Schizosaccharomyces pombe: one gene and its partner. Changing the gene in region 2 together with the main gene of any one other region gives a genetic interaction. Each region holds a gene or a part of one and is shown on either strand. Other genes may lie near its edges. The genes, in order: plh1 and dga1.

Evidence for each region.
Region 1: of dga1 (region 2) and plh1, changing one enhances a phenotype caused by changing the other (phenotypic enhancement), as found in Schizosaccharomyces pombe (2 studies listed by BioGRID).

Annotation. Positions count from the first base shown.
Region 1 is NC_003423.3:3,198,774-3,211,833, reverse strand, and holds plh1 (phospholipid--diacylglycerol acyltransferase Plh1), read right to left. Parts: upstream 7,435-13,060; 5' UTR 7,387-7,434; coding exon 6,403-7,386; exon of another isoform or gene 6,358-6,402; coding exon 6,288-6,357; exon of another isoform or gene 6,234-6,287; coding exon 6,206-6,233; exon of another isoform or gene 6,162-6,205; coding exon 6,134-6,161; exon of another isoform or gene 6,086-6,133; coding exon 6,002-6,085; exon of another isoform or gene 5,963-6,001; coding exon 5,723-5,962; exon of another isoform or gene 5,689-5,722; intron 5,682-5,688; coding exon 5,535-5,681; intron 5,490-5,534; coding exon 5,283-5,489; intron 5,259-5,282; exon of another isoform or gene 5,234-5,258; coding exon 5,166-5,233; exon of another isoform or gene 5,118-5,165; coding exon 5,075-5,117; 3' UTR 4,966-5,074; coding exon of another isoform or gene 3,800-4,965; 3' UTR 3,740-3,799; coding exon of another isoform or gene 3,668-3,739; 3' UTR 3,599-3,667; downstream 1-3,598. Other genes in the region: rRNA processing protein Rrp7, read right to left, coding at 1-84, 133-481; protein Mis20, read right to left, coding at 1,051-1,812; kgd2 (dihydrolipoyllysine-residue succinyltransferase), read left to right, coding at 3,255-3,375, 3,668-3,739, 3,800-4,965; condensin complex non-SMC subunit Cnd1, read right to left, coding at 8,059-11,341, 11,433-11,511, 11,582-11,696; Dbf4(Dfp1)-dependent protein kinase Hsk1, read left to right, coding at 12,859-13,060. UniProt on the Schizosaccharomyces pombe protein: Catalyzes triacylglycerol (TAG) formation by an acyl-CoA independent pathway. The enzyme specifically transfers acyl groups from the sn-2 position of a phospholipid to diacylglycerol (DAG), thus forming an sn-1-lysophospholipid.
Region 2 is NC_003421.2:209,945-220,444, reverse strand, and holds dga1 (diacylglycerol O-acyltransferase Dga1), read right to left. Parts: upstream 5,102-10,500; 5' UTR 5,022-5,101; coding exon 4,845-5,021; intron 4,596-4,844; coding exon 4,367-4,595; intron 4,259-4,366; coding exon 3,947-4,258; intron 3,855-3,946; coding exon 3,535-3,854; 3' UTR 3,346-3,534; downstream 1-3,345. Other genes in the region: plasma membrane high-affinity glucose/fructose:proton symporter Ght5, read right to left, coding at 6,492-8,132; SPOM_SPCC1235.18 (uncharacterized protein), read right to left, coding at 9,157-9,636.

The DNA of each region.
Region 1 (13,060 bases), on a different chromosome or scaffold from region 2:
TAGTAACACGTTTCATGTATGAATCAACACTTTCGGCTAGAACACGTGGATTGACAAACTGTCTATCATAACTTTCTACATAACCTATTAAACACATTAGTATTTCCAAAAAAATAATGACCATGTTCTTACGTTTCAAACCAGTATGCTGTGTGAACTTCCAAGGAAGCGAGGTCGTCTTTTTAGAAGCTGCCTTGATAACTTGTTTAACTTCAGCGGGCTCGACTAATTTGACGCGTAAATGGGTGCCACTTTTCAAAAGGCCACTAATATTAGGATAGATATTAACGATACGACCGCCCAATTGAGAAATTGCTCTTTTCAAAATCTTTTCAGTAGTTGTGATAGGAACATTAATCAAATACAGTGACTTCTTTTCAACATCTTCCGTGTCTTCTTTCAAAAATATACTATGCAACCTCTTTTTATTTTCCAAATAAATTTCTAGTTTAACAAACCCTTTTTCTTTGAGCTTGTCCATTTATATGAGTTGTTTGGTTCTTGGGTAAAATGCAATTTGTTACTGAGCTTGACCGAGGGCAAGACCATAGGAGCTGTATACTCTTATACCTTCGCATACTTCATCTCGTTGTGACTATAATTATTATTATATACAATATACATTAAGAATGTTAGAATAAGCGAAAATTAAACTAAGATTTGCTTATTTTCTAGGATTAAAAAAAAAATGTAATTATACAACTTGTAATTTATTTGCTGCTAAATAAAAGCTCCAAAAAGCAATGTAATAATTGAATTGGGAGCTAGAGGTGTTGGATTGTAAATTAATAAAAAAATACAGCTATATTGATATGCGTGGTTGCTAATTGCATTTAGTGTTCCTAACCAAGATAAACGTTTTTAAAAAAGATCCTTATAGCCTACTCATACAAAGTATAGTGCTCGGTATAGTCATTTAAAAGGATTATTGATATTTGAATAAATTACTGCACACGCTTAAGGTAACTTTTTGCATTATAAAATGGTCATTCAAAATTTTTCGTAATAACAAAGAAACGTTATTGTATACTTCTTGTTCGATTGGACTCACTACCTTCTACGACTTCCCTTATGCAAAATCAGTTTTCCAAAAGTTTGAAGTCTTTTAAGTTCTGAGTTTGGGTTAATTGTAGGGGTTTTGCGTCTTATTGGAGTCACAGGAAGCTCTATAGGGCTAAGTTTTCTCAACGGTGAGGATGAGTCTGCATTAAAATAAAAAGCTTCTGCAGCATCATATTGGTTACTTGCTGATTCTTCAAGAGATATGAAAGAACGGTTTTTACTCACAGAAAGAGAATCCACTGATGTGTAAGGCGAGTAACCCCTCGATGCATCAATAACGTTGATACTTTCCGTAGAAACATTAGACACGTTGTTGATTTCTGTATGACATGATTCTTTTTTCACTTTGTAAGGAGGTGATCTAATTGTATTAGAATGTGATGGATGCTTGTTTTTTGAAGTAGTGGGACCGGTTTTTGAAAAAGTATAGCTGACTATTTCATCCTCTTCTAAATAGTCTGGTAATCGGTAATTATTTTGTGAAAGTAATTTATTATTGTCACTTAAATTATATTTTAAGCATTCAAAGCCCATCGGAGAATCCTCTATACTATAAGTCGACATATTTAACGTAGGATCTGAAGTTTTTAATATCATCAATCTTGCAGAATCATGTCTTAGTTTACTCAATGCTTCTTCAGCTCGCAATGGCAAAGGAAGAGATTCAAATAATTGTTCAAATTTCACTTGGATTCGATCTTCTTTTGGTGCATTATTTATGAACGCGTGCGATTCACTTTGTTCCAACATTTTGCCATGCGATTTATCTTTTTAAAGATATGACTTTAGGTTAAAATGAAGTTTAACAAAGTTTTGAGATTTGGATAAATCCAACTTTTCAATAATTGCTTCATTTAGGTGTTAAGGCTCAAGAAAATTGGTTAGTGAAGAAGGTAAATAAAATCAACGATATATATACTGTAGGTGCTTGCAAAAAATGTCTTCAATGAAAAACCTAGGAATTGATTAAAGGGATGATAAAGACAAAAGAGGTATAGAGTTTATATATACTATTTATTTGATACAGCGAACCGCTGACATTTTGTAGAATACAACTTATGTAGCTTAATTGAATGTTTTGATCGCAAAAAAAGGGTTTCTAGGAATTTTCGATATATTAGAGCTAGATGAGATGAAGTATTAGGAAAATGTTTTTTTTTTCTATATATAGAAATAGCAATACCAATAAACGCGCGACAAATAAGCTTACTATTTACAATGTAAAACAAACATTTCTCTCAAGCTGCGAAACCAATGTGATTTCTAATTCTAAACCATACTTATTCATTCTGTAAGTTCAGAGCGAATATCTTGCAAATTAGCGGAAACATTCATTAATGCTCGTGTGCGGGCAAGCAATGCATTTCCTTACGACTGATATTGTTCCGGCAGTGACCCAAAAAGTCATATGCCTTTGAAACTAATTACAATGTTCAATATCAAATGTATATATGAGGTATTAATTCATAATAATAATTCATTCGTATGAATAACAGCTCAAATATTTTTTATTTTTACTGTATATATTCGTCTATGGATAGAACCGTACAACTAGGAAGGTTGTCCGAGTGGTTATGGAGCTAGTTTAAGGCACTAGTGCGAAAGCTCGTGGGTTCGAGTCCCACACCTTTCAATACTATTTTTATTCTTTTGGATATCTGCAAAATGTCAATGTAAAAAAAGGAGAAAACCGAAATTGATAAATATTTTTTTGAATTCAACTTTAAAACAACTTCATATATTGATCCTTAATAGTTTATCATTTTTGCTGTCTTTACATCACACTATTACAATTTAGTGTATTGTAGCAAACCTTTATTATTCCAAATCCTTTCTAAACAATGTTTAACGAAATACAGTGACTCTCATCAAATCTCTTTACTACCCCCAGCTACATTTCCTAATAAGGTTTTATAAATGGCCTACCATAGGTCATACTGGTTTCACACACCGAATAGGATTCTACAGGTTCAAAGCACTACCGTGCACTCATACTCCATATAATATATTACAGTGTTTATAAGGGTGTAGCATATTTACCTTCTACCACATACAACAACCCCCTCTAGCAATAATACAAAATAAGCAAGCCACTGTTAGTTGATTTGGCTTTCGTACATTCTTCTTGTTTTTTCTTGTGCTGTCTTTATTCAAGATTGAAGTAAATTACTTGTTACGGAAAAACCATCATAATGACTTCTTACGGCAATGGCTTTCGCATGATGGCGAAATGTCTTTTATCTCTACGTTCAGGATATTCAGTCACTGCTCCAGTGTCTAAATCCATGGCCAACGTCCTTTGGGCCCGTTATGGTATGTGTTGTTGATCATGATGTAGATATTGTTTGTTAAAGGAGACGGGATATATATGTTAGTACTCAACTTGCTCATAAGAATCAACTTTTGCTAAGTGCATCTGTCTTAAACTTTATTTTGAATCAAGTGGACGCTGTTGATTTCAAAATAATTAAATAATTCTTCACAAGGTCATATTCACACATGAATAGGAATTCTCAACTATGTTTTCTTCCTTTCACTCAGTATCTTCGGGATTTACTTTTTCTTATGTTGTTTCAATTTCAAAAATCATTAACTATATTTTTAGCCAGTACACGCATTAAAACGCCTCCGTTTCCTGAATCTATTACGGAAGGTACCCTCGCACAATGGTTAAAACGTAAGTTGATTCATAAAAAAAAGATTTTTTGCTATTATAAATACTGACTTTTGTTGATAGAACCTGGAGAATATGTCAACAAGGATGAGGAAATCGCGAGTGTGGAAACTGATAAAATTGATGCCCCCGTTACAGCTCCTGATGCCGGTGTTTTAAAGGAACAACTCGTTAAAGAAGGTGACACTATTACCATTGATCAGGATATTGCGGTCATTGATACGAGTGCCGCTCCTCCTGAAGGCGGTAGTGCCGGTCCAAAGAAAGATGAAGTCAAAACTGCAGATGCCGATGCAGCTAAGGACCTTTCAACTCCTCAAGATTCTTCTAAACCCATTGAAGAGAAACCCATGCCTGACCTCGGTGCTGAACAAAAGGAATCTGCACCTTCCTCTACTAAGCCTGCTCCTGATGCCAAAGAACCTGAATTTTCTTCTCCTAAGCCTAAACCTGCCAAATCCGAACCAGTTAAACAAAGTAAGCCTAAAGCTACAGAGACCGCTCGTCCTTCCTCATTTTCCCGTAATGAGGATCGTGTTAAAATGAATCGCATGCGTCTTCGTATAGCTGAGCGCCTTAAGGAGTCCCAAAATCGTGCGGCTTCTCTCACTACTTTCAACGAATGTGACATGTCTGCTGTGGTCGCCCTCCGTAAGAAATACAAGGATGAAATTTTGAAGGAAACCGGTGTTAAAATTGGATTCATGAGTTTTTTCTCTAAGGCTTGCACCCAAGCTATGAAGCAAATTCCTGCAATCAATGGCTCCATAGAAGGTGAAGGAAAGGGTGATACTCTTGTTTATCGCGACTTTTGTGATCTCAGCATTGCTGTTGCTACCCCTAAAGGTTTAGTTACACCGGTCATTCGTAATGCTGAAAGCATGTCCCTTTTGGAAATTGAAAGTGCTATTGCAACTTTGGGTTCAAAAGCGCGTGCTGGCAAATTAGCTATTGAGGACATGGCTAGTGGAACTTTCACCATCTCTAATGGTGGTATTTTTGGCTCCCTCTATGGTACCCCTATTATCAATCTTCCTCAAACAGCTGTATTGGGTTTGCATGCCATTAAGGAACGACCTGTTGTTATCAACGGCCAAGTTGTTCCAAGGCCGATGATGTATTTGGCTCTTACTTATGACCATAGAATGGTTGATGGTCGTGAAGCAGTTACTTTCTTGCGTTTAGTAAAGGAATATATTGAAGATCCTGCAAAAATGCTATTAGTATAAAACAGGAACTTTTGAAAGAGGCATGATTGGTTGAATGATAGTGATGCTTTTTATTAAAGACAATTTATTTATCATATTCGTTTGTCGATTTATTTAAAGTAAATGATTTTTAATTTCTAGGTTTATCGAGATTTATCTCATTTATTATTTCCCTGTTCGGTTAGTTAGTTAATTGCAATCTACAAAACTTATGTCCGTACTGGATATCTGATATATAACGGTTTGGTACCGAGTCACCATGGCCTGATGAAACTTTTAAAATAATTTCCTTATTTCAAGAGTTAGTAATAGAAATTTGTAAGGTAAAATGAACATACATTTAGCTCTGAATGTCCAAGTATATCGACGTGTTCTGCCGAGCGAGGTCCTCCTCTCAGATCAAACGCAGCAGGTTCATGCTTGATTTCATAATTTGTGATACTTGTATTAGCAGGATTAAACCTTTTTGTTTGCCAAACTTTATTGCACACCAAACCAAGGGCTAATATTGGTAAAGTTCCATCACCATCATCCATAACAATACCCTAATAAAACAGTTAATAGAATGTTTGAAACATAAATTCTCTCACATTTTCAACTTTTGTTCCATCATTAACCGAGGAATCAATGACAGGTTGCCCCTCAGGATTATTAGTATAATAATAACCTCTCTCAGTTGGTTTTCCGACCCCGTGAACGCAATAAATTTTCATATCAGGAGCATAAGGAAGACTAGTCTATTTGGGTTAGTATAATTTAGTAACTTTAATGTTCTTACTTCTAGCGGATTTATCCATTTAGACGGCATTTCGTTATTTTTTAACACTTCTTTTTCAGTCCAAGCAAGACCGTGGGAATAATTTTTCGCTAGCATGACTTTAAAATCGTCATCTGTAACATTTTTTAAAAATTGTAATGCATCATCTATGTCAAATTCATCGTGGTCCTTATCAATGTCTTCTCTATATCGAATAATTGCACCATTGGAAAAATTTGTTTGATTAAGATCATCTGGAGCCTAAATATTAATAAAAAATTAACAGCACATATTTCTTACCCAACTGGCATTTCCCCATACAACATCGCCTCCTTTAGGAAGCATAGAACTAACTCCTCCCATAGTGCGAACCATCATGGCTCTCTATTAAAAGTTAGAAAAAGTAGAGCACATTTGTATTTTTGAATATACCTCAGAACGGGAAAAAAATTTTTCCAAACTAAACAGTAAATTAGTAACAAATCTCAACAATTTATTGCTTACCCATAGACCGAAAACTGATTCAATTGAGCTTAAAACGGTTAGCAAAAATTAAATATTAACATGTTTAATGTAATTACAATACCTGTATCTTTCATTTCACCCGATAAAAGCGCTGCCACTGTTTTGGGTGCTCCAATCAAAGATCCCGATATCTATTCAAAAGTTAGAAACGTAGTCAAACAACCATCGAGACTCACATTTATAAATGCTTCAATATGATCATTAACCCAAGTCGGTCCACCATTTCCGTAGCCCTCAGCTTCAACCCACTTAAAAAAATAGTACGTAACCTGTGAACCCATGGAGTGAGAAATCAACACTACCTTTTTCTTATGTACAATGTTGCTGTACTCAATGAACATTTTTAACTTTGAAAAATATTTATCACGTTCCTCTAAATTTGCATATGATAACCGCCAATCGTAAGAAGCACTTAACATGTTATTAGGCTCATAACCAATTGCAGCAAGGTTTTCAATTACTTTACTCCAAATCCAATAGCCCGTGATAAAAAAATCAGCTGCTTCAAACCCCTGAGCTGCTCGCAGCTTAATTCCCTTCGGATCCAAGCCGGTTTTTTTATCAAGCATTAAATGTTCAAGCCAGCATTGCTTGTCAAGGAACATTGCCTTCAGCATAGACCAGCTACCCCAAAGACGTTTCCTAAAGTAAGGAATCGAGCAATTATTAAACGACCAACTTTCTAATCCTGAGCTGATAACACCAGGAACCATAATAACAGGATGGTCACTTCGATATCCCTCATTGTACATATCAAGACCAACTTGAACTTCATTTCCGCTAGGAGACTGCGAAGGCTTGTCCGTAGTAAAAGGTGCATCCTTAAACACATTATAAGATAAATATCCTTTAATGTCATCAAACAAGTCTGAAGAGCCTAGCATATTCCCAAATTTATCTAACGTAGCAGGGTCGAAAACAGCATTGTCGTCTCCAACAGCGAAAAAAAAAGCACCGCATATTCCCAAAATAGCGCCCAATATAAAATTCAATCTTTTTCCAAATTTAGATTTTCTTGATTTATTTGAAACAGATTGTGTTTCGGACGCTGAAGGTTGCTCACTCAAAGCGCGAGTTGGTTTCTTTGAATTTGGTAAGTCGATAGGAGATTTGACTTCTTTCTTTTTCTTATGAGTTTTGCTCTTCTTGGAAGACGCCATAGTTAACTTTAAAATATGAATTGCTTGAGCAGCAACTGCCAAACATTCGATAAGTAAGCGAAGTCCTTACTGTCATAGTTCTACAGCAGGAGTGATAACGAAGTGAGCGTTAAGTTGCTTTAGAAACACGTTTAATATCGGTTTCCTTCTACAATTGTATTTTGATTTAGTGTCTAAAAGTTTGAAATACCTTATTTCTAGTTAAACTGAGTTACGTTACAATGCACTTATACTCAGTATATGCCGATTATATTTATTATCAAAACTTCTAGCCTGAGAGGATGATGACAGTTCCAAAAAATGATCTCTGTTCAAGTATGTAATTTACCAATATTTGATACAGCCTAAAATTGAGAAGAGTTCCTCAGTTTTACTTAGCAGTTAATGAAGGTGAATAGTTTTCTAGGGTAAAGTTAAATCTTCTTCATAAGCACAAAAAATAATTAATGACCCAGCTAGAATGTGCAAATTACTTAGCTAATAACTAAATTACCTTAACTTGCGCTTGAATTGTTTAATTGTTGCAAATAATGGGTGTTGTAGATCAATGAAGTTATAGTTATTAACATTCAATTCGTTATAAAAAAGGTATACCGTCATTCTTCTTTTTAATTAGGCAATACTAATATACAAAGGATTTTGAATATGTAAGATAAAGCATTAGAATTGACTTTATTCATGATATCCATCGTCAATGAGCTTTTGAATATTATCGGCTTTATGAGGAAGCAAAGAAAGTGCATACACCACATGATCCCATTGACGTTGAGTTTTACACCGATCAAGACGAGCAGCCAGACGTTCGGCTAATTGCTTGGTATGTCTTTCTTTTTCAATAAAGGACGTCAAGAAACGAATGATACGCTTAAACTTAGCGTCGTCCTCATCCTGCTCCTCTGCACTTCTAGATAATACACTGAAGATATCAATAAAGTTATTATATACAGAATTATCCTTGGCTGCAAAATCAGTAAAAAACATTCGAGCAAGATCAGAAATTCGAGCATCTTCGTCTTCCAAAGAACGAGCCATAATACCCAGCTGGCCCTTTACTTTTATTTGACCAGCTAAAATCAAAAATGCTAGAGTCATAAAGCATGTCTTTTTGACAGAAGACTCTTCATCCATCAGTCTTCTATATAAGTATTCGGATATTTCATCAATAAAATGATTGAAACAAACAGTTAAATCTGCTAACCCGATTACTAAGTTGTTTCGAATAATCGGATTATCACATTTCTCCAGAATGGTTATTAACAATGGAAGATGTTCCATACAAAAATTGTTAGAAAGACACATAAATTTGGACAAAGTCAGAGAAGCAGCTAGTAAAAGGCTTTGATTATTGTGCGATTTATGATTTGAGCACAATTCTACTACCAATGGAGCAAATCTCGAAAGTAAAGAATTCTCACCATAGAGCAACTCCCTTTCACGAATAAATGTCATTGCTTCTGAAAAATCATCTTCACTTGTTCCCGTAATTAAATCATATTCAGAAGTTTCTTGCCCATTTATAGGATTATTTGAGTTCTGTACGGCCAATCTCTCGGCGTCCGCTTTTCGCCGTTTGAACTCTGCCTCACAATATTCGATATAGACTAATTGTTTAATCGCGACATGGCCTACTAAAAATATTAAGTGCGCCAGTCGTATACCTATTTCTTCCTCATCTTTTAATGTTTCTTCTTCTGGAGAATCATCTAAATCTTCGTCCATTGCATGATCATCGTTACTGGTAGTATTCTCATGATTGGAAGGTTTGAAGAGTTGTTTCGTCAAAAGCAAAATAATGTTGGTACAAAGTTCGTCAGGATGTTTGGCAACTGCATATATAGCCTCAATAGCTTGCTCTTCTAACCCAAACCACTCTTCAGAGAACGATGGTCGAAGTAAAAGCATACATAATTTTTGACAAAGCGTATGCGAATTTGGAAAATTAATATTAGAAGAACCAGACGCATCTTTGCCAATACGTTTAATCGCTATACATGTGTACCTTGCAAGAACTAAATCCTCCAAACCAGGGGGACCAAGTCCTATTTGAATAAGATGATCCAAGCCCTGCATGACAACATCGGTATTGCCTAATGCTAGCATTCCAATTACTATGATGGATCCTCTACGTTGTGTTCGAGATATATCCTTCTTTTGATAACTGTATACTTGCCATAGTTTTGTTATGACTAGATGTGAAAAATACCCATCTTTCATCAAAATGCAAAGCATCTGTTCAAGTGATGTAAGCTCAGCAAGGCTAGCATCATATGTTAATGAAATAAGATTTCTCGCAATATAGTTTGCGGCTTCGTTGGTACCAGAGTTCGGAGGTGGCTCAAAAAATAATGTTTTATAACATGACAATACATGGTTCTGAATGTTGTTCCCTTCGTCGGAGGTTCCTTTTACCCAAATTAAATGAATCATTTTTTTTATATATAATTTTGAAGACGAAATTCCAAAAGAATTGCAAAAAACAAAGAAATCCATTGACTCAATTACCTCGCTCTTATTTTTAGCAAACAACAACTGGCTTATTATTTTTGCTCCCGCTTCCACAATGTCTATATATTGGAGTGCTTCTAAATAAAACCGTTTCGTTAAATTCACTTTGACTATTTCCTCAGCAGGAACAGAATCGACATATTCGCTTAGAGAATTTTCCAAGTGACTTTCTCCTTCATGTGACTCATCATCTTGGATCATAGTAGCATCCTCTAATAAGTTTTCATCGACTTCAAGCTCTGAATCTACCACCTTTTCTTGTTGCTTTGGTTGTAAAGAATTAAGCTGTTCCTCGATGATAGATAATCCTTTCTCCCAAATATTTCTGGTTAGTAAGCCATTGTGCATAACTGAAAAAGGATGGGTAGTTAAAAGTTTAGAAAATAACTTAATTGCATTTCGGCGGACATGACTTGACCGATCTTGCAAACATCTGATCACGAGTTCCGCGATTTCTTGACGTTTTCTGGGATACTTAATTGGTAAATCAAATATTTTGATAAAGACGTGAAGTACTTTAGTACGACAGTAAGGGCTTATATCTAGTAATCGCTCACTGAGAAGATCCATTAAGCTTTGAACAGTTGCTGGCACTGACTCTGACATTTCATTTTGAGCCTCATCATGAATTTGATCAATGACCACATTAGCAAGTACTTCTATGATAGCGCATCTCAGAGTATATGATTCCGAATCAAGCAGCTTAACTAATTGAGTAAGCTGTTTCAAACATAAGTTTGGAATAAGTGAAGAAAGACGGACAAGAAACAAAGCGACTTGCTTGGGACCTTTAACATCGTTATCATTAAATTCTAGAGAGCACAATGTTCGAATAATTCCTTCAGCCAAGGTAACGGAATTAAACTGAACGGTAACAATATGAACAAGATCAGCAGCATACTCAGATAAATGCTCAAAGTATTGTAAATTTTGAATAATATTTGTCTCCGCTGCAGTGGTATGGTTATGGAATTGAACAGCAAGCCCGATAATATTAAATAAACGAGAACGGAAAGAAGCATTTTTTATGTTAATTTCACTTTCCATTAACGTGTATATTGGTTTTAGGAAAAGTGAAAGAAACATGTCTCTTTCCGAAGAAGTAGTCCATACACGAGATAATTTTTTTTGAAATAATGTTATGATTGCATCTAACAAAGCATTTACATGTGAGATACCATTCCAGTTAGAGTTAGTAGTTGGATTTTTTTTTCTTCCCTTAACAGTATTAGTGGATGACCGAATAACTGAAAGTTGATTTGAGGAAGAAAGGGAATTGACCGTGAGCTGAAATGCAATGCCTGTAGTTTCTAAATTCGTTTGAGGTACAGTAAAATCAGTAGCATTTGCGGAAATCATATCTTCAAGAATAGCGGATTCAGAGCTGATATTACTCGTGAGTAAATCATATACTTTATTCCTTACAGAGGAAGAGAGGTCAGCAAAGTGTCTAAACCATTATTGTTAGTTTGGTAAAATTGATATATAGTAAACCAAATGGCTTCCTTCTATTTGAATAACACAAAATAACAACTACTTACGAACATATAGCAAAGAGTTTTTCCAAGCAATCCTCGTCGAAACAAGAACTCGTTCCTAATAAAAGGGTATCAATGACGTCTAATTTTTCATTGTTAGTTATTGTGGAATCGATCATTTTCAATTTTTTTAAAAACCCAAATGTCCATACCGTTAACCACGGCTGTCAATCCAGCATTTTCACATTCAGCATAAATCGAGTCCAAGTCGGAATTTTCTTCATCATGAATGTATTTCTTTAATCTAGAAAGAAGATCCAACGACATTGAGGCCACTGAAAGCCGAATCTTTCTATGTTACGAATGAAATAAAAGATGGATTTGGCGTACTACATTCTAGTAGTCCTTGTAAACAATAACCCCACCTATATGTCCTGTGTGGGGGTCCATTTATACTTTCTTACTAACAAAAAAGAGCTACGGTTAGTCAAAATATAAAATAGGAGCTAGACTTAATTGTTGCTAACCACTTTAAGGATATAGAACGTGCTTTTATTAACTCATTTGTTTACATTAAAAAATAATATTTTAATTAACTTTTATTGAGCGTGCCACGTAAAAGCTATTGTTCTTTTTAGTACTTCTAATTAAATGTTTTGAAAAGAATTTAATATATTTTTTGAATAACGTTAGTTGTAAATTCTTTCTTGAGCTGTATTTCTGATATAAAAACTTATAATTTATTTTGGCGCATGTATCATTTTCAAGGTGATTTTCAAAATTATTATGAATGCAAATTTTGACGAGGTAAGCATTTGTGCTGTTTTTAGAATTTTAAAGTAATACACAATAAACTAAACAGAAAACCTATCGTAGTTTAACTAGGAATAAATTTCAAATTCAGGATAATTTTTTTATTTATTTTTAAATAACAGAAAAAAAAAACGTGTTTGAATACCATGGTTAATCATATTTACTCTCAATGTCCAATAAATAGTCAATTCTAGTTGTTTATGGTGGTTATTAACAATAACAAGAGCCCAAAGGATTTATGTTTTTTAAAGCAAGTCCTAAATTTAAAAAAAGATAAAGGACATGAAATCTTAATCTTTTCCATAAGTATACAAATATTATAGCAGAGTACTTTTTTTATTAAACAAAAGTTGGATTAAAAATGTATTTTTCTTGTTTGGAAGTAACAATGTCCCTCATTAGAAGAGCATTTTGCTTAACAATGTACAACTGGTGTTGAACCTGGAATCTGCAAATTCTTATATTCATGGAATGAGTTTGTGTTACACATTTTAAAAACTTGATTTTTTTGAATCTTAGTATTCGTTCGCGTGTTCGGTTTGAAGGTTTAAAATACGTGAAAATTTGTTTTTTCTTGGTTCCTTCCCTTGGCAGCATTTTACCATTTAATTGACGACTCTTTTAATTTTTTTTAAGTTATTATTTGGTTTAAAAATATATGAGTTAAACCGTTAACATGGCAGAGGCCCATATCACACTATCACCTAAAGTAACTCATGAACAACAAACAGATATTGATTCTGAATGTGAAATCACTGAGGTGGACGATGAAAATGTAAACGAAAACAAATCTCAAGAAATGATTCAAGATATCCCTGCACGAGACCGCGAAGAAATTGAAAATATCACAAGGACGTTCGTAGAGCTACAAGAGAACT
Region 2 (10,500 bases):
AACAGTTTGCTTTGAAACGACTATTGCTCATTTATTTATGTTGAACGGCGGGAACTGAACTCCAGAGTGAATATTCTTGATTTTGCTGTTTCGTTTGTCGCAATCATAGCAATTAATTCGCGCATGTGTTTTGTTAAATAAAGAATTATCTTGATGAAACGAAGAATAATTACACTTCCTTGAAAAGTTCTATAGATGAAGAAGATGAATTGAAGACAGATCATGAAATTGATTTGGAAAAAGGACCCCTCCCAGAATATGATTCAGAGGAGGAAAGTACATTGCCTCCATATTCAGGTAAGAATTGTAAATAATAAGAAAGGAATTATTCAATTGAAAGTTGAAGCTTGCCATCGTAGTCAAATTGCATGCTTTGGTCATTGTTTACAGTTGGCCATGCAATGCACACACTTTGATACATGCTTTTTCTTAACTAAAGTCTTTCAATCATATTAATTTAAACAGATCATGCACGTTTAAGCAATTCTCCTAACACACATAGAGAAAACAATCCTTCCAGGTCGACAGATAATTCTTCCCCTTTGTTGATAAAACTGCTAATATCATTCACTTCAATCATTCTATTCAATGCTCCAGCAGTTTGTTATCTAAAGTATAAGGACGCTTTTTTTAAAAATTATGGTGCAGCGGAATGGACATTATTTGGATTTTGGTGTCTTGTTTGCACTTTGGCTTTAATATTCTTGACTTGTAAGTGAGACGATGGGGTTATTCTTACCTTCAGTCACTAACTCATTAGACTTCTATGAAATTTGGACCAAGGCAGTTAAAGTAACTGTAATTTTCTTGGCACAATGTGTCAAGGCTTGCGGAAAAGGAATCAAGCACTTTTTAAAGAAGTGGAGAAACATGTTTTTTGCTTTTTGTAAAAGTTCTATTTTTTGCTTGGTTTTATTAAAAGGTGTAAACAAATTGAGTTCACATTTAGGTGATCAACAATGGGGATGGAAATGCTCGGCATCCGCTTTCACTTTCATGGCTGTATCAAGCATTCTCATATTCATTGCTGAAACAGGTTTGTTGTTTACTAAACAAAATTAATACTGACAACATAGTGGAACCGGGATCTTGCTCTACGCATTTACTGACCAGACTTGCAACAACTTGCGGTAAAGATGATAAAAAGAAGTGTACTTTAAATGTGTTTACTAATTATTTTTAGATCGTGATGCCAGACAACACGTGAATGAATACACTGCTATTCCGTTACGTGAGATGAACCCTGAAAATGAAGCCTAATTATATTGCTAACTTTACTATTGATTTATAAAGGCGCTTTTCTCACGAAACTTCTCTACAAGAATGTGCAATGGAAAGAAGCATCTATATAATTGTGATTTACCAAACAAATCATGATGTGTTTAGAGTATTTCAGATGTATTTTTATTGCATGATTTCATTTCCTGACGAAATGGATGAGCAAGTGCATTGCTTGAAAGATTCTGCGATGTTGGATAACATACACTGGGAATTGAATATTAAAATAATGGTTTTATTTATTCGTTTTAAAATAGCAGTTCACTAATTGACTGTTATCATCAACTAATGAAATTGGAAAACTCGCTGTTCCTCCTTGTTGTATTCACAATTTCATTGTCGTTTATTGCATTCATTTCTCTTTCATCCTGATTCTTAATGAATCAAGCTTAATCATCATTTTTTCTTCTGTTTACTGGTTCAATTCAAACAAATTTCAATGTTTACAAAATAATGAACAGCATAATAAAATATTGTGACTTAGATAGACGAAATGTTATCGCAATAACATGTCAGCTACGCAGTTTGGTATTTGTTTTAACAATACATAGAACTGTGTTGGGTTTCCTTGTGATCTATTATATTGCGATACGCAGGTAGTATGAGTAGCAACTGAGTATAACATACCTATCCCTAATATAGCATATGACTGAACTTCGTTCCTCAGTTCAGTAGGAGCTCTATTTATAATATTTTTATATTGTTTGTTTTGACACATGTAGTAAATAGTTTGCCTTGGTGACTTGAATACAACGGATTTGCAAACATTACATCTATCGGTGACAACGTAACGTACATAGGGTAGTATTGTTAATGAAATTCGAACACAAGAGTCATAGTGCTTTACACTATATTATGCACCTCTTCATCTTTGAGCCTATTCTTGAGCATAATTACTATTGATCATCTTGTAATTTCATAAACATTTTAATTAACTGCCAAATGAATATTTTGCTATGAAGATGATCTATTCGAATGTTCCTTAGTTCACATATAATCTATTCCAGTATGTTTAGAGTACTACACCCATCACTCTATACATCTTTTAATAGTTATATTGATTTTGCGGGAAGCAAAGCGTCGTATGAAGATCACATGCTTAACCATCGTAGAGTGTGTCCATAAAGCTTATGAGTTGAACATCGAATGCTTCAAGCAATTAGCAGGTACGCTTTTAGTTTGATATATATACTTTTTTTTAACTTTGGTTTAAGGATGCTATTGAAATATTCGACAATTCTATTTTCCTTCTCACAAGACTCTACCCTTATCAAATTTTGAAATTTAGCGATTTGCAGTCTGAGATCGACTCCCTACACTTGTTTTATAGACCTTTTTGCTCGTTTTCGAAACTACAGTAATTGGGTTAATACTAGAAAAGCAATAGCTAAGAAGAAATGGCCTCTTTTTTTTTTAGAACCGAATCTGCGAACAATTTAAAAATGCTTATATAGTAAATTCCTCGTTCCTCATATAAGGAATTTTGTTAGTAAAGCACGACTTGAAATTCCGTTAAAAAACACTCACTTTAATTTCCAATTAGACAATAGGAAACATTGGGCGTACATGGTTGCTTGAATTAATTAAACTTATTGCAGGTCTGAACCTTCGAACCATTTGTGAAAATGCCTCCAATAAAAATCGTTTCTTCTAATTACTGAATGAATATTAGTAACGCTTGAAGTAATTGTGAATACCTATGAATCAGTAAGACAAAGATAATTTCCATTTATCCTTTATAGCATGCAGTGTACCAATATTAAACCTGATCAGATACCTCAAAGGGCTGTAACTTTTACTCTTTGTTTGAATTTACAAACCCTGTCAACTCATCAAATGTAAACGATCGCTAAGACTTACTGAATTATTTAATAAAGGCGGCAAAGCCCATGCCTTCGATTTAATACTCCCCGCCAAGTATGCCATCTAATTTATATACTATTGCATACTGCTGCGTCGTCTTTTAGTCACAAACGAAATTATCGTCTCATGGCTTGCTGCATGATTTTTACTTAGCATGATAAGACGATTGCATGAAAGCAACCGCCTTTACATTTAATTGAAGAAGGGAACAGAAATAAACAAGTCTAAAGTGCCTCAAACATTATATTGTAAATTTTTGCAAAATAAATATAGCTTATAAACTGCTCTAAAGAAGGAAAAGAAGAAATCGTTAATGATATAAAATCTCACAACATATTGCATAGGCCAATAAGAAACTGCTCTTATTTTATGTGAAGACTTCTTCATATTAATTTAGGCTGACAACTTCAATTCGCTAATACGATTTGGTAAAAACACATCTTTGTATTTGTTCCATAAGCCTTCAAGTCTTCGGATGTACTCTTCATGAACCTCATAGATTTCTTGATTTGTGGGGTGAGACTTTTTAGGAACATCGATGGGCTCTCCAACAACGATGTTAATAGGTTTACGCCAAGGCATCAACCCAAAAGTTTTGTTTAATAGTCCACGACCATAGAAAAAGGGGACTGTAAATCCTGCAATTTTTTTGACAATTTCTTGAAATTTGTAGATACGAGTACGCGGATTGTTATCAACCTGTTCAAAAATGTCTTGTGTTGGTTAGCAAGATACTAAAGTAAACAACATCAAAGTAATTCGACGACTTTTTAAGCTATCTAAAAATACTAAAATTCAATCTTACCAGACTCTCCAAAAGCAAAGCAAGGGACTAAACTGGATCCTGTTAAAAAAGCTAACTTAACGAACCCGAAACGCTTTTTAAGTACAAGATTGTTTTGACCTGGACGGGACAAAAGAGACTCTTGAGCTCCCCCGATAACAATCAAAACACTATCACCTGGCTTACGGGAAAGAATGCTAACACAGGATTTCTTGGATACTGAGTTGATGTTTAAAGCCATGAGATAGTCACGGTAAACCGGCACATAAAAGTTAGAATTAAGGGTCAGGACAGAAACGTTGATGCCAGGAAATAATTTACTAAAATCGGCCCCTAATAGCATAAGGTTAGAAATTAAATAAGAAAACTATGTGTGGAATTAAAAGGGAAAACACTGATGTAGAGTAGCCTCTAATTTCCGGGTTCTCCATCATAACATACCCTCCGAAGCAAAACCACCGAATGCACCAAGCGAAATAATTCCGTGTGGATGATATCCAAATATGTAATTTTTTTCAGAGTCAAGCTCAGTAGTTTTATGCAGACGAATGGGGAAGTAATGACAAAACCAACGATAAGGGGGAGCATTGCGCAGCCAACGTTTTTGCCGATCTTTTCCTGTTACAAACCCATCGTCATATATTAACCAAATCAAATAAACAATTAAAAACTAAAGGAATGAAGGATTAGTAAAATGGACTGTAAAAAAAAATAGATGGATCAGTTTTCAACATTTGAGAAAGGGAAGCGAGACGGATTATTTTTGTAGTCCGAAAACCGAAAAGTACTTAGTATCATCGAACAAACATGAGATACCTAACGCCTTTTTTCAGCAATTCGAATCGCGATACATTTTGCAAATGAAGTTTCACTTTCAGAAATCATTGATATTGTAACATCAGAAAAGATGCTCACTTACAGGCCAAAATGGGAGGAAAGCCCATAAAACTGTATACCAAGATGCCGTTAATGTCAGACTGACACTATGAAGGAATACCGCTAACGCTTGTAGCCAGTGACTGACGTTACGTCTACTATCTTTTGAAATAGGTGGAGTAGAAGCTATGATTCCGGGAATTGATGTTTCTTCTGACATTCCCGTTCTATATAATCGTGTTAACTTTTTCAACGAACAGTTTTCTAAGATTTCCTTGAAATTGTGGTTGGCGGATGGCTAGTGTTAATTTGATGTCATCCGCTTCTTTATCCAAGATACCTTTACCTTCCTACTAACATCTCCTTTTTACACCGCATGATCTTTTTGTATATATGTAACAATTTTTTTAAATAAGTAAAGCATGAATGAAAAAATTATCTGCATTTAGGTCAAATTTTCCGGCTTGCCCTGAGCACTTCATGAAGCCTCTTTCATTGACAGTCAGATATTGGAAAGACACTTTTCCCTTTGCAAGCAAGTCAAACCATTTTTAGAAAACTTAATGGAAACTTTAAACATTTAACATTTTTTTGACGTACACTATACAATGACTTATTCAAATCTTTGTAGAAACATAATTTCAAATGTTGCTATCTTAAACTATGTGCGGTTCATAGTAAAATGATAGACGAGAGTGGTGGTTTAAACTTAGAAGGCAGTGTACATTCTTACTTTTAACATTTTTATGGATTCCAATTAAGTTATCTTTACCTTTGGCAAGCATATTAATTAAATCACTACCCATGGATTCAATTTTTTCTGGTATTGACTACTATCGATAATTAAAATTTTTAATTTATTACTTATAATCACCGTTTTGAAAAACGAAAATAATCTTGAAAATTTAAAGAAAATGTCATAGATACTTCTTCAACGATTACATTGGCAAAGGTGACTACGCTAACTCATCCCAACTTTGCACAAGCTGCAATAACATATCTCAATATATGTATAATGTGTGTGTGTTTATGTATACATAATTCCGTTCCTCTAATCACCTTACTCATTCAAATTTTTAACAAACTTGAAAAATTGGCTTACATACTGATTTAGACCATTTACCTGTATTTATGTATATATATATATTTATACTGTTTTGGAAACTTTTTTATCCTCTAACGATGACGATAAATTTACAACACAAAAGGTAAGTATAGGATAAGAAGATGCAAAAAAAATATTTTTTTGTTAAACAAAAACTTGGAAAAACATATTATATATTCAATACAGTAACGACCATTGGAATAAATTGTAAAAAGACAGCAAGGGAAAAGAGACTTTTAAGAAATCCAAAGCTCATTTCACTTATTAAGAGCCACAATCGACTAAAGCTAGGAAAATTAAATAAATCCAAACCAACATTAAATTTAAAGCATGAAATGATGAGACAAAAACTTTCCGTATGCCTTTCTGGGTATTCATTCATTTATCTTCCAAATGCAGCGAGTGAGACAAGAATAAATTAGTTCCAATCTTTAAAAAATGCCACCGCTACTCCTAACAAACATCAGAAATTTTCAGGGATATAATAAAAAACAACAACAGGAATCAACGAACCACGACAAACATTAAGCTTAAAATAAGCGCATTTTAAGCTTTTTATAAATATTGTTGTTATCAATCAGCAATCTATGCGAATTGTTCTTCCTGATCGTGGTAGCTAGATTCGGGCTTGGCACGGCCATCCGAAGATGTTGTGGAACTAATGTCATTGCTAGAGTCCTCAATACCTTCCTCACCGTCAACGTTTTCAAGATGAGCGGCACTTTCGCCTTGAACACCACGGGATTTTTCACGAACCTCTTCTTGTTGCTTGGTGAAGTTACCAAGGTTCTTAGGTCTAGGCATCCAGGGCTTAGCACCAGAGATATATAGTTCGTTAATCTCTTCCAAGGTAAGACCTTTGGTTTCATGAGCAAACAAGAAAATAATACAAGCAGCACACAAGTTACAAGCAGCGAAAATGTAACCATACTTGAATCCAATGGAGTTGGTAATGAAGGGAGTGAAAAAGGAAATAAGGAAACCCCACAACCAGTTACCAGTGGTAGCGACGGCAGCACACTTGGAACGATAACGAATGGGATACGATTCACCAACGATAACGTATGCGGCAGGACCCCAAGTTTGAGCAAAACTGAAAATGAAAAGACATGAGAACACAATCATAACGGCACCGGCACGATGGTTTGAGGTACCATTCTTACGAGTAAGAGCACGATTACCAACAGCTGCGTAAATGAAGAAAGTAATGGATTGCCAAAGAGCACCAATAATCAATGGCATACGACGACCAAAGAACTCTAGGACGAAAAGACCACCAAACGTACATCCAAAGTTAACGGCATCAAGAATCAAAGCAGAAAGATAAGGAGAGTTCATACCAGTACCCTCAAACACCTCGAAACCATAGTAGAAGTAGTAGTTATCACCGGTAAGTTGTTGAAGAGACATGACACCAAGACCAAGGAAGGTACGATAACGAATGTCGGGACCAAAAATTTCGGGCCAAGTAGCGGGACCACCAGCCAATTCAGCTTCACAATCAGACTTAATAACATGGTATTCCGTTTGGATAACTTCGTGTTCGATAGGAAGATCGTTGTTCTTGGCCATAATTTGAAGAGCCTCTTCATCTCTACCAACAGAGATCAAATAACGAGGGGATTCAGGAAGGAAAGAAATACCGATGAAGGTGATGATACCCCAAAGCAAGTTAATACCCATGGATACACGCCATTGAGCAGTCTTGTGCAACTTGTGAGTACCCATGTTGATACAAGCGGCAATGAAAATACCACCAGTGACAGCCAATTGATAGGTGGTGACAATGGTACCACGAAGATCGGCGGGAGCAACCTCAGATTGGAAACCGGGGGCAAGCACAGACAAGGCGCCAATGGAAAGACCAGTCCAAATCTTAGCAACCATGATTTGGACCCAAGATGGGACAGCGGTAACTTGAAGAATAATACCAATCAAATAAACAATAGTCCAAAACATAATAGAGGTACGCTTACCAATGCGATCCATAAGAGGGGAAGAAAGGAAACAACCAAAGAAAGAACCAACGTTAACCATACCAGTAATTAGACCTTGCCGCGCCGAAGAATACGAATACGAATCTGTTACCGGATTATACCGATCTGCGAAACGAGATTGGAAATCTCTCATGTTGGTGATACCACCAATGGAACCGGTATCGGCGCCAAACATCCATCCGGCCATGGACACGAAGACCAACATGACAATGGTCAAATTTTTTCCCATTTTTGAAAATTACGATTAAAAGGGTAATATAATGGAAGGAGAAAAATTAATAAAAAAAGATATAAAGGGTTTGATTGTAAATAGGGTTAAAAGACAACAAAAAGCTTTCAATGACAAGACAAAAGCCCAAAATAGAACCGAAACCGAAGTTTAACTATCGTTATAACGCAACAGTGAAAAAGAAATTTTTTGAACAAGCTAGTAAAGTATTTTTGCTTGCTTGCTTGTTTGTTTTTCTTAAAAAGGGTATAAGATTTCTTTTTTTTTCTTTTAAAAAAGATGTTTGGAATTAAAAAGGCAAAAAAAAAAAGAAACGACAGATGAGTTTAAGAGAAGGGTATATAGAGAGGGAGAGCGAATACGCAAAATACAAGACTCAAACAAAAGGAATGAGAGAGAATGAATGGAAATTTGGAAGATGAACGATTCCTTACAAATCGAAAAAGGCACAAAACACAAACTACTCGAAGCAAAATAAAGCAATCGAGATGGGAATGTGAAAAAAAAAAGAGTTTTTAAAAAAAACACAAAGGTTGAAAGGGAATTAACTTACTAACAATCGCTGAAGGGAGAAAGATACACACAGACAGCTAAAGTTGGACGCAAGACCTGACAAAGGAATTAACGATGATAAGGAAGGTAATGTAGTGTAGAGATGGATAAAACCGATTGTTGGACGAAGGAAAAGACCGGGTTTGCAGTTATAATATATACCAACAAACGTCCCATCTTGCCCATACCTTGGATGCGGGGTTAAGTGTATGAAGTAGGGTGTAATAAGAGGGGAACGCAGAAATGCCCACTCTTGCGCTTGGAGACACGCATTCTGATTGGCGCACGTCGGAGTAGCTAAAATTTGACAATACAAATGGGAACACTCTCCCATACCCCATCTTTTGTTATACTCCACAAAATTGCCTTGCTGACAGTTTTACCGAACGGACAAGTAACGACGCATGGATGGAAGCGCCAAGGATGCGAAGATGATGGGAAAGTAGGCCGACACACACGTTCCATCCCAAAATCACCCATTATGACAAGTGAAGTATGGAGAAGGAAAGAGAGGAGACAAACACTCTCTACCAAAGTAGCTACAAACTACACTGTGGAGATGAAAGGGTATGCGGGGTGTGAATGCGAGACAGAGGAGAGAAAGACAAGACAAGACAAGAGCAGAGTAGAACAGACTTGGAAAGGCATGAGAGAGAGAGAGAGAGACAATGAGACAGTGAGAGATGGGAAGGGATGTAACGGTACTGACCCAGATTGTCATGTCTAGGCTGTCATGCCATGCTATGCCATTGCATCGTAGTGTAAGGAGGGGAGTGATTGCAAAGAAACAAGGCTTTGATAGCACTATGTACTCTATGGGCGGCTGAATGGTGAAGGAAATACCGAACGAACAATCGAATGCCGAGTGGTACAAGGAAGATGAAAAAAGAGTGGATGAGAAAATCGATGAGTCGAAGAGGGAATCATAATTACTAGGATTTCTTGGTGTCATGGCTTATCATTTACTTTTCCTAAAATTGATTTCATTTCATTTCGCTTCGCTTCCTTTCATTTCCCATCCTCTTATTTTTCTTCATTTCTCTTCATTTCGCTTCCTTCTTGTCGCCACCTGATGTGGGACCAAGGTACAATGGATTCAAAGTTAATTCTTACACGTCCAACGATTTCTGCACGTTCTACGCTACTTTTGGAAAGGTATGCATCATCCTCCTCCTCCTCATGACAAGCTATCTCCAGCATCAGGCAGTACGTTTACCACTTGAAGCTAGAATGTGAATGGACCAACGAGGTGAATGTAATGGCCAACAAAGTGAATTTGAATTGACATTCAGGTGTTAGTCCATTCAAAAGTCCTCCAACTTATGAGCTTGATGTCTCCCTCACATCCAACTCTACTCGCCTCTATCTATCTACAGCATCTCAAGTCTTTTTTTTTCCAATTGCTTCTCCCTGTGATCCTAGCTATCTACTAACTATGTACTAACAATGTTTTAACTAAACTATCGTCCTAATATTTTTTTTTTCACTATCTTTTTTTTTATCCTCTTTTCATCTTTGCTTTCCTCCTTCTTCATCTTCACTAACCTATCTAACCTGTCTAACCTTTCTAATCTTTATTAATCACTCTATCCTCTCTCTCTCTCTTTCTCTTTCTCCTCAATCACTCACTCTCATTTCTTTTCCCCCTCTCTCTCCCTGCCCCTCAAAACATTCGTGTCCCATAAGATCCACAAGATCCACAACACACACTACATGATTTGTATGCACTTGATTACTGTGGGGCATGCTTCGTCCATACCGCTCCTATATATCTTTTAACCTCTGCACCATCCAGCATTTTCACTTTTCTTTTTGA